4 linked regions of the Drosophila melanogaster genome follow. The protein of the gene in region 1 interacts with the protein of each later gene in a pairwise test. Each region holds a gene or a part of one and is shown in the gene's direction. Other genes may lie near its edges. The genes, in order: CG13445, TfIIEbeta, CG14143 and CG13540.

The links.
Region 2: the proteins of CG13445 (region 1) and TfIIEbeta interact in a two-hybrid assay, tested with the Drosophila melanogaster proteins (one large-scale study listed by BioGRID).
Region 3: the proteins of CG13445 (region 1) and CG14143 interact in a two-hybrid assay, tested with the Drosophila melanogaster proteins (one large-scale study listed by BioGRID).
Region 4: the proteins of CG13445 (region 1) and CG13540 interact in a two-hybrid assay, tested with the Drosophila melanogaster proteins (one large-scale study listed by BioGRID).

The regions. Positions count from the first base shown.
Region 1 is NT_037436.4:15,807,912-15,810,545, forward strand, and holds CG13445 (uncharacterized protein), read left to right. Parts: upstream 1-1,573; 5' UTR 1,574-1,586; coding exon 1,587-1,620; intron 1,621-1,682; coding exon 1,683-1,972; 3' UTR 1,973-2,066; downstream 2,067-2,634. Other genes in the region: CG6244 (uncharacterized protein), read left to right, coding at 507-622, 676-808.
Region 2 is NT_037436.4:4,285,066-4,288,882, forward strand, and holds TfIIEbeta (transcription factor IIEbeta), read left to right. Parts: upstream 1-1,972; 5' UTR 1,973-2,084; coding exon 2,085-2,146; exon of another isoform or gene 2,147-2,218; coding exon 2,219-2,323; intron 2,324-2,398; coding exon 2,399-2,561; intron 2,562-2,621; coding exon 2,622-2,912; intron 2,913-2,968; coding exon 2,969-3,226; 3' UTR 3,227-3,284; downstream 3,285-3,817. Other genes in the region: CG1316 (uncharacterized protein), read left to right, coding at 1-51, 110-207, 360-466, 534-704, 782-853.
Region 3 is NT_037436.4:11,132,964-11,136,029, forward strand, and holds CG14143 (uncharacterized protein), read left to right. Parts: upstream 1-2,023; 5' UTR 2,024-2,033; coding exon 2,034-2,378; 3' UTR 2,379-2,517; downstream 2,518-3,066. Other genes in the region: NaPi-III (Na[+]-dependent inorganic phosphate cotransporter type III), read left to right, coding at 1-61, 132-634, 704-1,037.
Region 4 is NT_033778.4:23,268,936-23,271,609, forward strand, and holds CG13540 (uncharacterized protein), read left to right. Parts: upstream 1-1,541; 5' UTR 1,542-1,572; coding exon 1,573-1,593; intron 1,594-1,648; coding exon 1,649-2,035; 3' UTR 2,036-2,124; downstream 2,125-2,674.

The DNA.
Region 1 (2,634 bases):
GCTCAATCAATTGAAGATCCTCGCTATCCAAACGGATCAATATCAACATTGAAATTATTCAACTGGAAACCCCACACAAAAACAGAGAAGCGGCAAAGGAGTATTAAACAGATTATTACAAATCAGTGAGTTCACATTAGGATGTTTTTAGTTTTGAACGGATATAATTTTAAAATTATATTTATATAAATTCCCAAAAGTATTATTATCTTATTACGTATTTTAAAATGTATTATTATTATATATTACGTGTAATAAAATCATTATTACGCTTTTTGAGTATGGAATTAAAAACATCAAATAAATGATTTATATCTCCGTTGATTTTTTACAACCTAGCTAAACAGCTTTTTTCTAGCTAAAATGTAATCATAATAAAAGAACCCGCAGTAACGACTGTCAAAAATATAATTTGACGAAAGTGGAGTCAGAAGTGTGCAAGAGCATATTAATTAAAAAATTGCAATTAAAATATTAAAATATATCGTATCTTCTGATCTTCTGCCATGGGTCGTCGCAAGTCCAAACGCAAAGGAGCCCCAAGAAAGAAAAATATTCAGCCGCTGCCCATTCTTTTCGATTGTCCATTCTGCAATCACAAGCAGTCATGTGAAGCGAAACTGTGAGTAGGAATCAAAATTTGGTTTTACTCCGCTAATTTCATAGTATTCATAGAGATAAGGCGAAAAAAATAGGAAGAATTACCTGTACCGTGTGCCAAGAATTTTTTCAAACACATATAAACTATCTCACGGAGGCAATTGATGTGTTCAACGATTGGATTGATGCTTGCGAGGAGGAGAACTAACCATTTACACTTTTTAATACGCTTTAAAAGCATGTGAAAACACTTTGAAAACTTATAAGCAGAAAGCCTTAAGCAAACTGCTCTTATACTTCAAATATACACGGAATTCTACTTATACGCGTGTATTATACAAAATATTTTACATACATACGTTTCTGCTGCATACTTTTGAGCTGTGACCTTACATTTTATATAACTAAAATTAAATGAATAAAAAACAAATCACAATATTAAAACTAGTTAGGATCATAAATAGTTTTTGCTACAAAATAAGCTTTCAGTTTTGGAAAATGTACTTATATTTCCAAAATTCTACCCTTTTAAATGAAAAGCATGACTGTAATTAAAATGTCTATAATATTTGTTTTTTTTTTCTAAAAAAAACACTCATTTACCGATTTAGAAGGCATGTGTGTGGATTTGTATGGACCTTTATATTAATATTAAGTATATTCAATTAGTGTATCTCTAAGATATTTTACTGCCACCTAATTTGCAACCCAATTTACAGCATTGAAGCGTGGTTCTAACAACACAAATCACCCAGCAAACCCCGAAAGCTCTGACCTTGATCGCTCAAACTCAATAGCTATGCTAATATTTTGTTAGTTGTTTCTATGTAGAATTTTGGGGCATTTCGTTGATCTTGGGGTAGTCAAACACAGTCTGCTGGGTCAGAGACGATTCGCAAGGCACTTGCCAAAATTTTAGTATATAAGCCGAAGCCAAAAGCTCACTCAGCATCGAAAGCATCTCAAGCTACAATCAATCATCAAATATGCAGTCTAACAAGGTTTTCTTCGTGTTCTTTGGTGAGTTAGGAAAAGGAAGCCGACGAAAAGGATACCAAATCATCCAAGTCTATCCAATTTAGGTATCATCGCCATGGTGATCGCCGCCAGTCTCTCCTCGGATGTTGTGGACAAGGGTGATGATGTGATCAGCGATCGTCGTTTCCGTTGGGAATTCTCGCAGGACTCGGATGAGTCTGCCAACGACTTGCAGGAGGATGATGATGATGATGACGATGCCGCGGATGATGACAGCGGCAGTGCATCCGAAGAAATTTTGATCATCGAGTATCCTGAAGGCTACGAAAGCGGCTCCAATGAAAGCGCCTCCGATGAAAGCGTCTCCGATGAAAGCGCCTCCAATGAATCTTAATCATTTAGTTAACAGTTTTTGTAATTTTTGTTTTTATAAATAGTATTTGTTGTTATGGCGAAAAGTTTTAAAATTATACGATATTTGTGAGCGTAATCTGATTTTTTATTTCCCCCAAAAGATACCGCAGCTCAGGAATCATCCAAAAAGCATGCCCCACAATAGTTACATTTTAGCGATGATTACAACGATGATTTGTATAATTAATTTTATTTAACATAATTTAAAGTATCTTTAATTCAATTTTAATATGGTTTACATACAATATTTATAGTGTTATTTGCATTAATTTAAACATTTTAGTATTATGCATTTAAATATATTTAAGGTATATTTAAACTATGACTAAACATAAATTTTACATGATCTTTTTTTTCACCTCGCTAGTGATGTCGTTCAATAATTTATTTGCAATTTCTACTTAGTTGAAACCAAATGTTTTGGAATGATGGGACACAGGCAACACAATTAATTAATAGGATACAGAAAACGCAAAACGCTTTTAAAACCAATATACATTTACATACATTTAATACAAAAATGGTTTAAAATTTAATGATCTTGTTTTGGGTGGCTTCTTTCTGATCGAGTAATTTGGATTGCTCTAGAAAGAGATCAGAGCTAATCGGATTTAAAAACTTTTGTTATCCATTTGCGTTGGT
Region 2 (3,817 bases), about 12 Mb from region 1:
CAATGAGGCCTTAGTGGTGTACGACAACCCAGAAGCCGCCATTTATGCCAAGTAAACAAAGCCCTAAAACTCATTTTCATGCAGGCTTTAAAACACTATTCTTCTTTAGGGACAAACTTCATGGCCTGGAGTACCCAATGGGCGAACGCATCATTGTCAAAGTCAATGGAATGAGCTCAGCTCGCATGGACACATCCTTCATAGACAGTACGCGAGTTAAACCTATCAAGGGCTACAGGCCGCGCCATCACCTGTAGCCATTTATTAAACGCTTTTGCTTGGTTTATTTCTTAGCACATTTTTGGCTTAAAATGCATGATATTTCCTATTTCTAGACTTAATGTGGTTTTTTATTTTAGAGCGAACCAAAAAGGATGCCATCTGCAATGTTCCCTTGCCCCCAACTCAGCCACTGGCATCGCCGGACGACCAGGTGGCCCAACGACTGTTCATTGTGCTCTCAGCGGTAGGTATCACTGTACCGTGTCCAATTACCATTAGCTATAAACGTTGTTTCTTTCCCATCTACTCAGAACTTGCCGCATTCGATATTGAAGAACATATTCTCTTGCTGGTCGGGACTGATCGACGTCTACCTTCTGCCCAACAAGAACTGTGGCTACGTCAAGTATGCGGAGGTTGAGAGTGCTCAATTGGCCATTCGTACCCTAAACGGAGCCGAAATTTGCGGCACCAAAATCAAGGTTTGTACCGTGTACTCATGTTCTGTTGCTGACAAGCAAGCAATTCTAATCAATTTTAAATTTTTATCTTACTTTAGGTCATGGAGGCTGAGGAGCGAAGTGGCTCCGACGGCGATGATGGCGGTCGCAAGCGATTGAGACGGAACTGAGTGTAAGTAGCTAGTTGAGTATGCATAAATTCCGTATCTATTAATGTAGCCATAATTGAACTGAGTGTGTGCCGTGGTACGAGGTAAGTAGCTGTGCAAATTCCAAACCGAAAACCTTTTAGCGATTTAAGACAATGTGCGCCTGCTGCACTTGCCCTGTGCACCGGTTGGCCATCGATGTCCACGATACCCATGCCGCCCACTGAGCGCGAACATAATAAGCCAAACCATTTTTATCTTTCTATCTCCACAGACCCACTGACAACCAAGAACTTACAGAGAACGCAATGTACGAAAACGTAACTAACTTGAGCATACAGTCCGATAAAAACAGTTGAACTGACCACCAACCACCAAACAACGCAACAACCAACCAATAACCAAACAAGAACCACCACCACAACAACACTCTCCGTACGGAATGCCACATGAACCAGAACCACGGGGACTGGAGAACGCAGACTGGAAACGGAAACTGCGAACGAAGACCATACCCGGGTGAACAAACCAAACAGGCCAACGAAATCACCACACCCGTTGACTACTCTCTACCAATTGACTAACTCAAGTGGGTCTCGTACAGAGCACTCGTAGAAAGACCCATAACCCATACGACCTTTAAACGGAGCCAACGAAACCGCAATGCTCTTGCTATATACACAATATATGCATAGTGTCGTATATATGTGTACTCATACCGCTTAGGGGACTTTTGAATCTACCCGTGATACAGAAACGAACTCTCTGTGTAACTTGAACTCTTACAAACTTATTCCGACGAGATTCAGCCAAGCAATAAATTCAAACGCAATGAATTTCTTAAGAGTATCAACTCTGTCTCGTAAATTCACGCTAAGCCACAGCGTGAAAAATTATTCTTTTCATATATTAGATTTAAATAAACGATATTCTACTGTATAAGGCCAACAATAAATACACTTAAATGGAATAATGTTTTTTTTTTCTTTGGAAGCGAAATGGGAAACAAATTAATTCTCGCTATGCAGATTTTCCATATATATATAATAAATTTTTTTTTAAAAGCGAATGGACTTTTTGAAAGGTCGTTAAATGAACCAGTTCCGAAATGTACAACTTCAGTGTCGCAGCCCTGGTAAGTTCCGGTTCCACGGACAGCTGAGCAGGCATTGTTTAGATTTTGTAAATTGTTGATTTCTCGCAGCAGAAAGTTTTTTTTCGTAGAGCTAAATAATAAAAAAAAACATTCGAAATGGATCCAGCACTGCTTCGCGAACGCGAGGCCTTCAAAAAGCGGGCGATGGCCACGCCCACGTGAGTACCGCACTTGTGGCCCCTCTGATAAAGATTGCTTCTCGAAAATTACATGCTATCCTTTTAAAATAGCGTGGAAAAGAAGTCCAAGCCCGATAGACCAGCTCCACCGCCGCCTAGCGATGATTCCAGGCGCAAAATGCGCCCGCCCAATGCTCCCAGGCTGGATGCCACAACGTAAGTTCCTTGAGAGCCTCTGCTACTGCCAGAAATGGTTCTTAACCATGTGGAACTCTTGCATTCCATACTTAGATACAAGACCATGTCCGGCAGTTCCCAGTACCGCTTTGGAGTGCTGGCCAAGATTGTGAAATTCATGCGCACACGTCACCAGGACGGCGACGACCATCCCCTGACCATCGATGAGATTCTGGACGAGACCAACCAGCTGGACATTGGGCAATCCGTTAAGAATGTTAGCTACAGTGCGTGATAAGTTGTGGCAGGTTATTAAACCATTATTCCTCTATTTTAGTGGCTTGCTAGCGAGGCTCTGCACAACAATCCCAAGGTGGAAGCCAGTCCATGTGGCACCAAGTTCAGTTTCAAGCCAGTCTACAAGATCAAGGATGGCAAAACGCTGATGCGTCTGCTCAAGCAACATGATTTAAAGGGCCTGGGCGGCATTTTGCTGGACGATGTCCAGGAATCTCTACCACACTGCGAAAAGGTGCTGAAGAACCGATCAGCCGAAATACTTTTTGTTGTTAGACCCATTGACAAAAAGAAGATTTTATTTTACAATGACAGGACTGCTAATTTTTCGGTGGGTTATAAACACACTCTTCTAAAATCCCAGCCTAATCAATTGTACCGTCTCAGGTGGACGACGAGTTCCAGAAGCTATGGCGCTCGGCTACGGTCGATGCAATGGACGACGCCAAGATTGACGAGTACCTCGAGAAGCAGGGCATTCGCTCCATGCAGGACCATGGCCTCAAGAAAGCAATTCCCAAGCGCAAGAAGGCGGCCAACAAGAAGCGGCAGTTCAAGAAGCCCAGAGACAACGAACATTTGGCCGACGTTCTGGAGGTCTACGAGGATAACACACTAACGCTGAAGGGTGTGAACCCAACGTAGAATAGAGACATTAGATTATACAAATAAAAACCACTCTCAATGGAATTAAGTACACTCGAAACTGGATGTTATAAATTTGTTTAACCACTGCCAATCTAATTAAGAATCCGCTGTGGCCGAAATCTCATTCCTCAAGATTTATAGTACCAGATTGCTGTTCTGCCTGTGGCATTGAACTTAAAAATATGACGACCGGCACAGGGAAAGATAATTAAAAAGCAAAACTATGTAATCTTTTCCTGACATTCCCCATTGCTTTCCACACCTGATGGCTGGTGGTGTGCGTGTACGAGGGCCAGAATCGATGCTGGTGGGCAGTTAAATTGGCAACAGAGGGAAGCCGTAGCTTTAGTCTGCACTGAACAGCAGCCAAGTTCAGTTGGAATCGATTTGGAATAACCTATATTTTGGTACGGCGGTTGTGCGGGCTTATCAGGAAAATTATCTATATATTGGACTCTACAAATCTAAAAAAAGATTGTGTTGCTATTTGTAATCTATTAAGATTATAACAAGAGATCCGATATTCAGTATAGACAAAAATATAGCTCATACGACTCGTAAATCAGTCATATTGCAAACTATCGTTCG
Region 3 (3,066 bases), 4.7 Mb from region 1:
AAATGGACGCAAGTTGCAGGAGTGCTTCAAGCGGATGCAGTCGCCCAAGGAGGAGCAGAAGGTACTACCTGTTTAGTGCTAGCTAGCTAATTCGATTGCTTTGCCTAATCTTCGATTCTTTCCACTTACAGAGCAAGACGAACTCCATTGGCACGGACTTGGAAACCGGATCGACCAAAGCCACAAATAACAACCTTCAAGTGGTGGAGAGCGGCGGCAGCCTTGATCTTATGATCAGTTCCACTTTATCGCCCAATTCCAGCAAGGTTCCTCTGATCGAGAGCAAGGAGGCGCTGAATGAGCAGGAGGAGGAGCTGAAACGAACGACGGGCGGTGGACGAAGAACCAGTGGCGCCGAGGAGACTCCGGAGATTTCAATGCTCTTCTCGTTTCTGCAGATCCTGACAGCCACATTTGGCAGTTTTGCGCACGGCGGCAATGATGTGAGCAACGCCATCGGCCCACTGATTGCCCTCTATATGATCTATCGCGAGGGATCGGTTATGCAGCAGGCCGAGAGTCCCATCTATATTCTGATCTACGGCGGCATCGGCATCTCTGTGGGTCTCTGGCTGTGGGGACGACGAGTCATCGAGACCATTGGCAATGACCTTACGAAAATAACCTCATCGACGTGAGTATTCAGTTCCTAATTTCCCTTATCCTTTCACAAATAGAACATTCACTTTCAACTATTTTTCAGTGGCTTTACTATTGAAGTCGGAGCTGCCATCACCGTACTGCTGGCCAGCAAAATTGGCCTGCCCATTTCGACTACTCACTGCAAGGTCGGTTCGGTGGTTTTTGTGGGTCATGTGAGTGCATCAGGTCGCAAGAAGAAGAGTCAGCCGAATGATCAGACCGATAAGGAGACCCATAACGAAGTTGCGCCCATGGATGATGGCAGTGTCGATTGGCATCTATTCCGGAATATTGCCTATGCATGGATCGTAACGGTGCCGGTTACGGCGCTCCTCAGCGCCGGAATGATGTACGTGCTGTGTGCCATCGCCGTGGACGACATGGGTGGGGCCTAAAGATGGAACAGAGATTGCCATTCAATTATTAATTGTAATTGCAAAACCAAAATAATGTTTCGTAATTGTACAAGTTGGAAAACACAAAACTTAAATATTAAACACGCAAAAGGAAACTCAAGAAAAAGTGGTAAAATCTTAACTAAATTACTCGCCTAACTAAAGCATTGTATTTAGCTCATAGAACGTCTCTGAGTCTAACTGATATTAATATTATTTAATATGTGTGTACGCCAAGCAAAGCCGTGATTTGATTTTATATCTATACACCTCGATTTGATTAGTTTATACCCGAACTTCACATTACTTAAAATGCATTTGAGACTCATTTGTAAAGTTAGTCCCAACCACTCAAGTTATTTTACACCAATTAATAGATCAGAGCAAAACATTTGAATAAAATACAAACTATGTGCAACAGAAAATGTTTATACGTTGTGGTAAGACCAATTTTTATTTTATATTATCTTTTTTTTTCGTGTCAATTTAAATTGCCGTCTTTATTTACAATTCGTACACTTGGTTCCAAGTTCGGTTCGTAACAATTCAAAACCTTATGTATAAGGCTCTCCAGTCCGATTTAAATTTACATTCCATTGAGAGTCAGTTCGTAAAGTATTTCACTATGTAGTTATACGGAAAATAAATACGAAGTTATGACACAAAAAAAAATCTTTTATTTCAATACTTTGGCTACCCACCCAACTTACATCCGTTTCTCTAAGAAATTAGTATTTTAAAAATAAATGAATGGCGTATAATTAAGTGAGCCTCTGTATAAATAGCCTAATTATACATTGCGAAAATGTGGTATTGATCTCTGTTTAAGCAACCCAAATTTACTAAAACATCACATTCCGATTCGATTTAAAACGACTGTTTGCTGTTTGCTTAGGGAAAACATATATGAGATCTTCCTCTTGATTTGGCTATATATACGCCAGCTTCGCCCAGAAAGAAGCACATCAGTCATAGCAGTCTAAAACATTGTTCAAGATGCGATCCCAGCTAACTATCTTCCTTGCCATCGCGGCTTTCGTTTCGACTGCCTGGGCACTGACTTCTCCCGCCACGGTCACTGTTTCATCGGTCACTGTTTCATCGGTCACTATTCCATCGGTCACTATTCCTTCGGTCACTATTCCGACCACTGATACAGACACGTCCACCACTTCGCCTTCGGCAACCGGAAGCAGCACCACCGTGACTCCCACCACCAAGAAACCAAAGAAGAAGGCTACCGTTGTCCACTACAAGAAGAAGACCCACAAGTCGAACCGACGCCGCAAGTTCCGCCACTCACGTGATGGAAAGAGGAAGAACCGATCGAGTTGGGAATAAGAAGGACATCTCGTTTGGAACACCGCAGACCCTGAAGATCTACATGAACGACCCACACGCACCTTGTTAATCCTAATGTTACTTTACTCTTATTAAGTTCGCAATATTTAAATAAAAACATATTTAAAATTTTTTGTTTAATTATTGGGTTTTGTTTTTTACAAACTATGCTTTCAAAAACTAAACAAGCATTAATTCCATATAAATACCATGCAGAAAACGATATAAAGCTAACTGATGGACTTATACTTAGAGGATTACTTAGTAATATGTGGAGTAGACTAATAGTTATGGTTCAATAGTTATTCTTGATTATTGTCATAAGTTTGCACTTTTGCAAAATGGCTTTTGAGAACTATATGCACATGTTTAACGTGGCGGATGAGTAATATTATTTCTTAGTACTTGTATATTTGGAATTAAACATTTTTTAGTCCACATACCATTGGGTCGGTGAAAGTCTGAAAAACACAACACTTAAGTAAATATTTAACTTTAAGATTGTTGTTAAAGATAAAACATAGTATTTCGGCTTATAGCTCGCTATAACTTCGGGCCAGAAAGATGTCAACTTTTTGGCTTAATCGAAATGGTCAAGAAAGCCCAACAAAAGTTTTGTTCCATGTGAAAAAGCTTTGGTGGGAAAGCTTTTGAGCGCGTGGCGCTCGAAGAAAACGGTAGCCGCAAC
Region 4 (2,674 bases), on another chromosome or scaffold:
ATATCGATTTTCATGCTCCGCAATCGCTTTGGATTATTCCGTAATTAAACGCAAATGCAGGCACCAAACTCGCGCTTTCGCCGCCTCCAACAACACTATCTCATACCCTACTTTTGACGATTCAAAAGTAATGTATATAGAGTTGAATAACGGAAACCAAATGAATTCTGATTCAGAGTTTTAAAAAACTATGGTATATGCTTACACTTTTTGCTACTGTTCGGTAATTACAGGGTATCTGATAGAGCGCCTGCTTCATCGACTGTGGCATTAAAGCCTCCATTTGTGCGTTGCAATTTGATATTCCGCTTCTCTGTTTTTTTGGCCCCATCGATTGTTGCTCTTCCTGGCTGTTTTTGTGGCTCCGATTGCCGGTTGGTGCATTCAGTGGTTGATGATTTCACCTTTTTCGCTCACCTCGTTGCTTTGATCGGTTAAATGTTAATGACTTTGTGGAGCGTATCTCCGTCGAAAGTGGAGTTTTTTGTTTAAGGCCCAAATGCGTGGCAAATTGCTGGCAAAATGAATCACTATCGGGAAATATATTAAAGCGCGTAATGGCTTTAAAACTTTTATAACATCATTCTCATCTCGAAAAAATCTTAGCTATCGGTCTAGTTTCAGCCGAATGCTGCTTTCCTCTCAATTTCGATATTTAATTTAAGCGCCACTGCTGGTTAAGCACTTGTTTGCTGGCCAAATTTTCCAAAACATTTCACTTCACGCGGCCAGAGACCTTAAACCACCGTCAAGCTGCTTATGTTGTTTGCATTTTGTTAAGCAAAAAATTAAATAACAGCACCCACACACACACACACACTCGTGGCCAGAGGGGCGGTAAGTGCTATTATTTGTTATTTGGTAAACGCAACAAATGAACCACCCATGTGCAAGGGAACATGGAGCTGGTTGCATGGAACTGGGAGCAGGGAGCAGAGGACCCGCAGAACGACCGCGACGGCAGTGGCAAAAACAGCAACAAATAGCAATATCTGCCAGGACACGGGAAAGAGGACATGGGGACCTGCATCCAGGCGTGGCATCATAATTAATTCAAATTTGAATTTCCTTTTGGCGCAATGCACGCGCCATTTTACATGATGGGTGGCAGTGCCACGCCCACATGTGTGGCATGCTATGACATCGGGGCTCCGGCATAATAAACTGTTTAAATATTTAGTCGAAACGAGTTTTTAATACTCGCTAGCGCTTTTAGCAGCTGCCAGCGGTCAGTGAATGGGTCCTCGTGGGTTTTGGGTTTTGATTGGGTCAAAAAGTCGTTGAAGACACTGAAAGCAGATCCTTTGGCCACACCGATAGTTTTCAGCCAAGAAATCAAGAAATACTGCGAGAAGAAGATGCACCAGTTGAACCTGAAACCTATTATTATTAACTATAGTTTTCTTGTATACCTCCAAATGCTAAGTTCCAATTTGGTTTTCATCTAACTCTTTTTATATCGAAATACTTGAAGTAGGGGAACATTGTGCTTTAGTGTTACCAAGGCAAATTTAAAATTTGTATATCTGGTATATAGCCAATCGACCGACAGCCTTACCCTTTTGCACATTCATGGAAAACCCTAAGAGCCCAGTAAGTAACCTTTTCAAATCAGTGAAAAGTGGAATAAAATATTGATCCGTTGCAGATGGCCAACGATCCCGGTAAGCCGGAAAAGTCCAGGCCACGCTTCTGCACCCTGTTGAACCATGAGGTCGTCGATCCCAAAGAGTTCATGGTGCACTTCGCCAAGCGGAGGAAGAATGAAATCATAATCCAGGGTCAGGTCTGCGGTTGGTGCTACAACATAGATTACTTAAAAGATGAAAAAACAAAGTTCAAGAAGAAGCGGCCCAATCTTTCGGATGCGAGCGTCACCAAGCAGCGCGCCACCTCACCACGAAGAGGAGCAATTGCAGACAACCCTCGTCAATTGGGTGGTGATCAGCACTGCTCGGAAAAGAGTTTTGCGCCCTCTGGTGACGAAATACCCACACCACGTGATTTGAAGGACAAACCTGGTGACCTTGCCTAAGGTCCGATACTGAAGTGGCCATAAAGCGATTTCAATTTGTAACATGTTTTCATTGATATAATCCAATAAATGATACGCCGGCTGTCTTGAAATCTCATTTAATAACTTTCAGTAGTAACATCCGGCCCCTTGGCAGCCAGGCCGGCGTGCGATCTTCTCGAGGTCGTGCACGAGGTGCGAAATGTGGCATCCAACGTAAACAAAATCTGTGGCCAGATAACAAATATAATAATATGCATTTACTGATGGCCCACATCTACAATAGATCTTAAGTATTCCCACAATTGGAAGGAAAGAACATTCATTTATTATCTGCTTATTTATAAACCTTGAACTTATGATATAACAGAATTTAGAAAGAATAAATGAGGATGAAATATACATATACATTTCTCCATATGATTATGTAAATGGTGTAATAGATTAATAATGCCATAGGATAGGAAAATCTTCGCCTCGCTTGTGTTCTTGTATAAAAAAAAAAATAGAATGTATAACTAAAGATTGTGTTTTCAAATGAATGATGTACCCCATCAGCGTCCAAAATAATTGCCCCAGTAACCGCCAATCACTCAAGTCCGTCCGCCAGTCAGTCAGCATTCCATCAGGATGTATCTCCGGGCTCTTGGCTTTGCAACT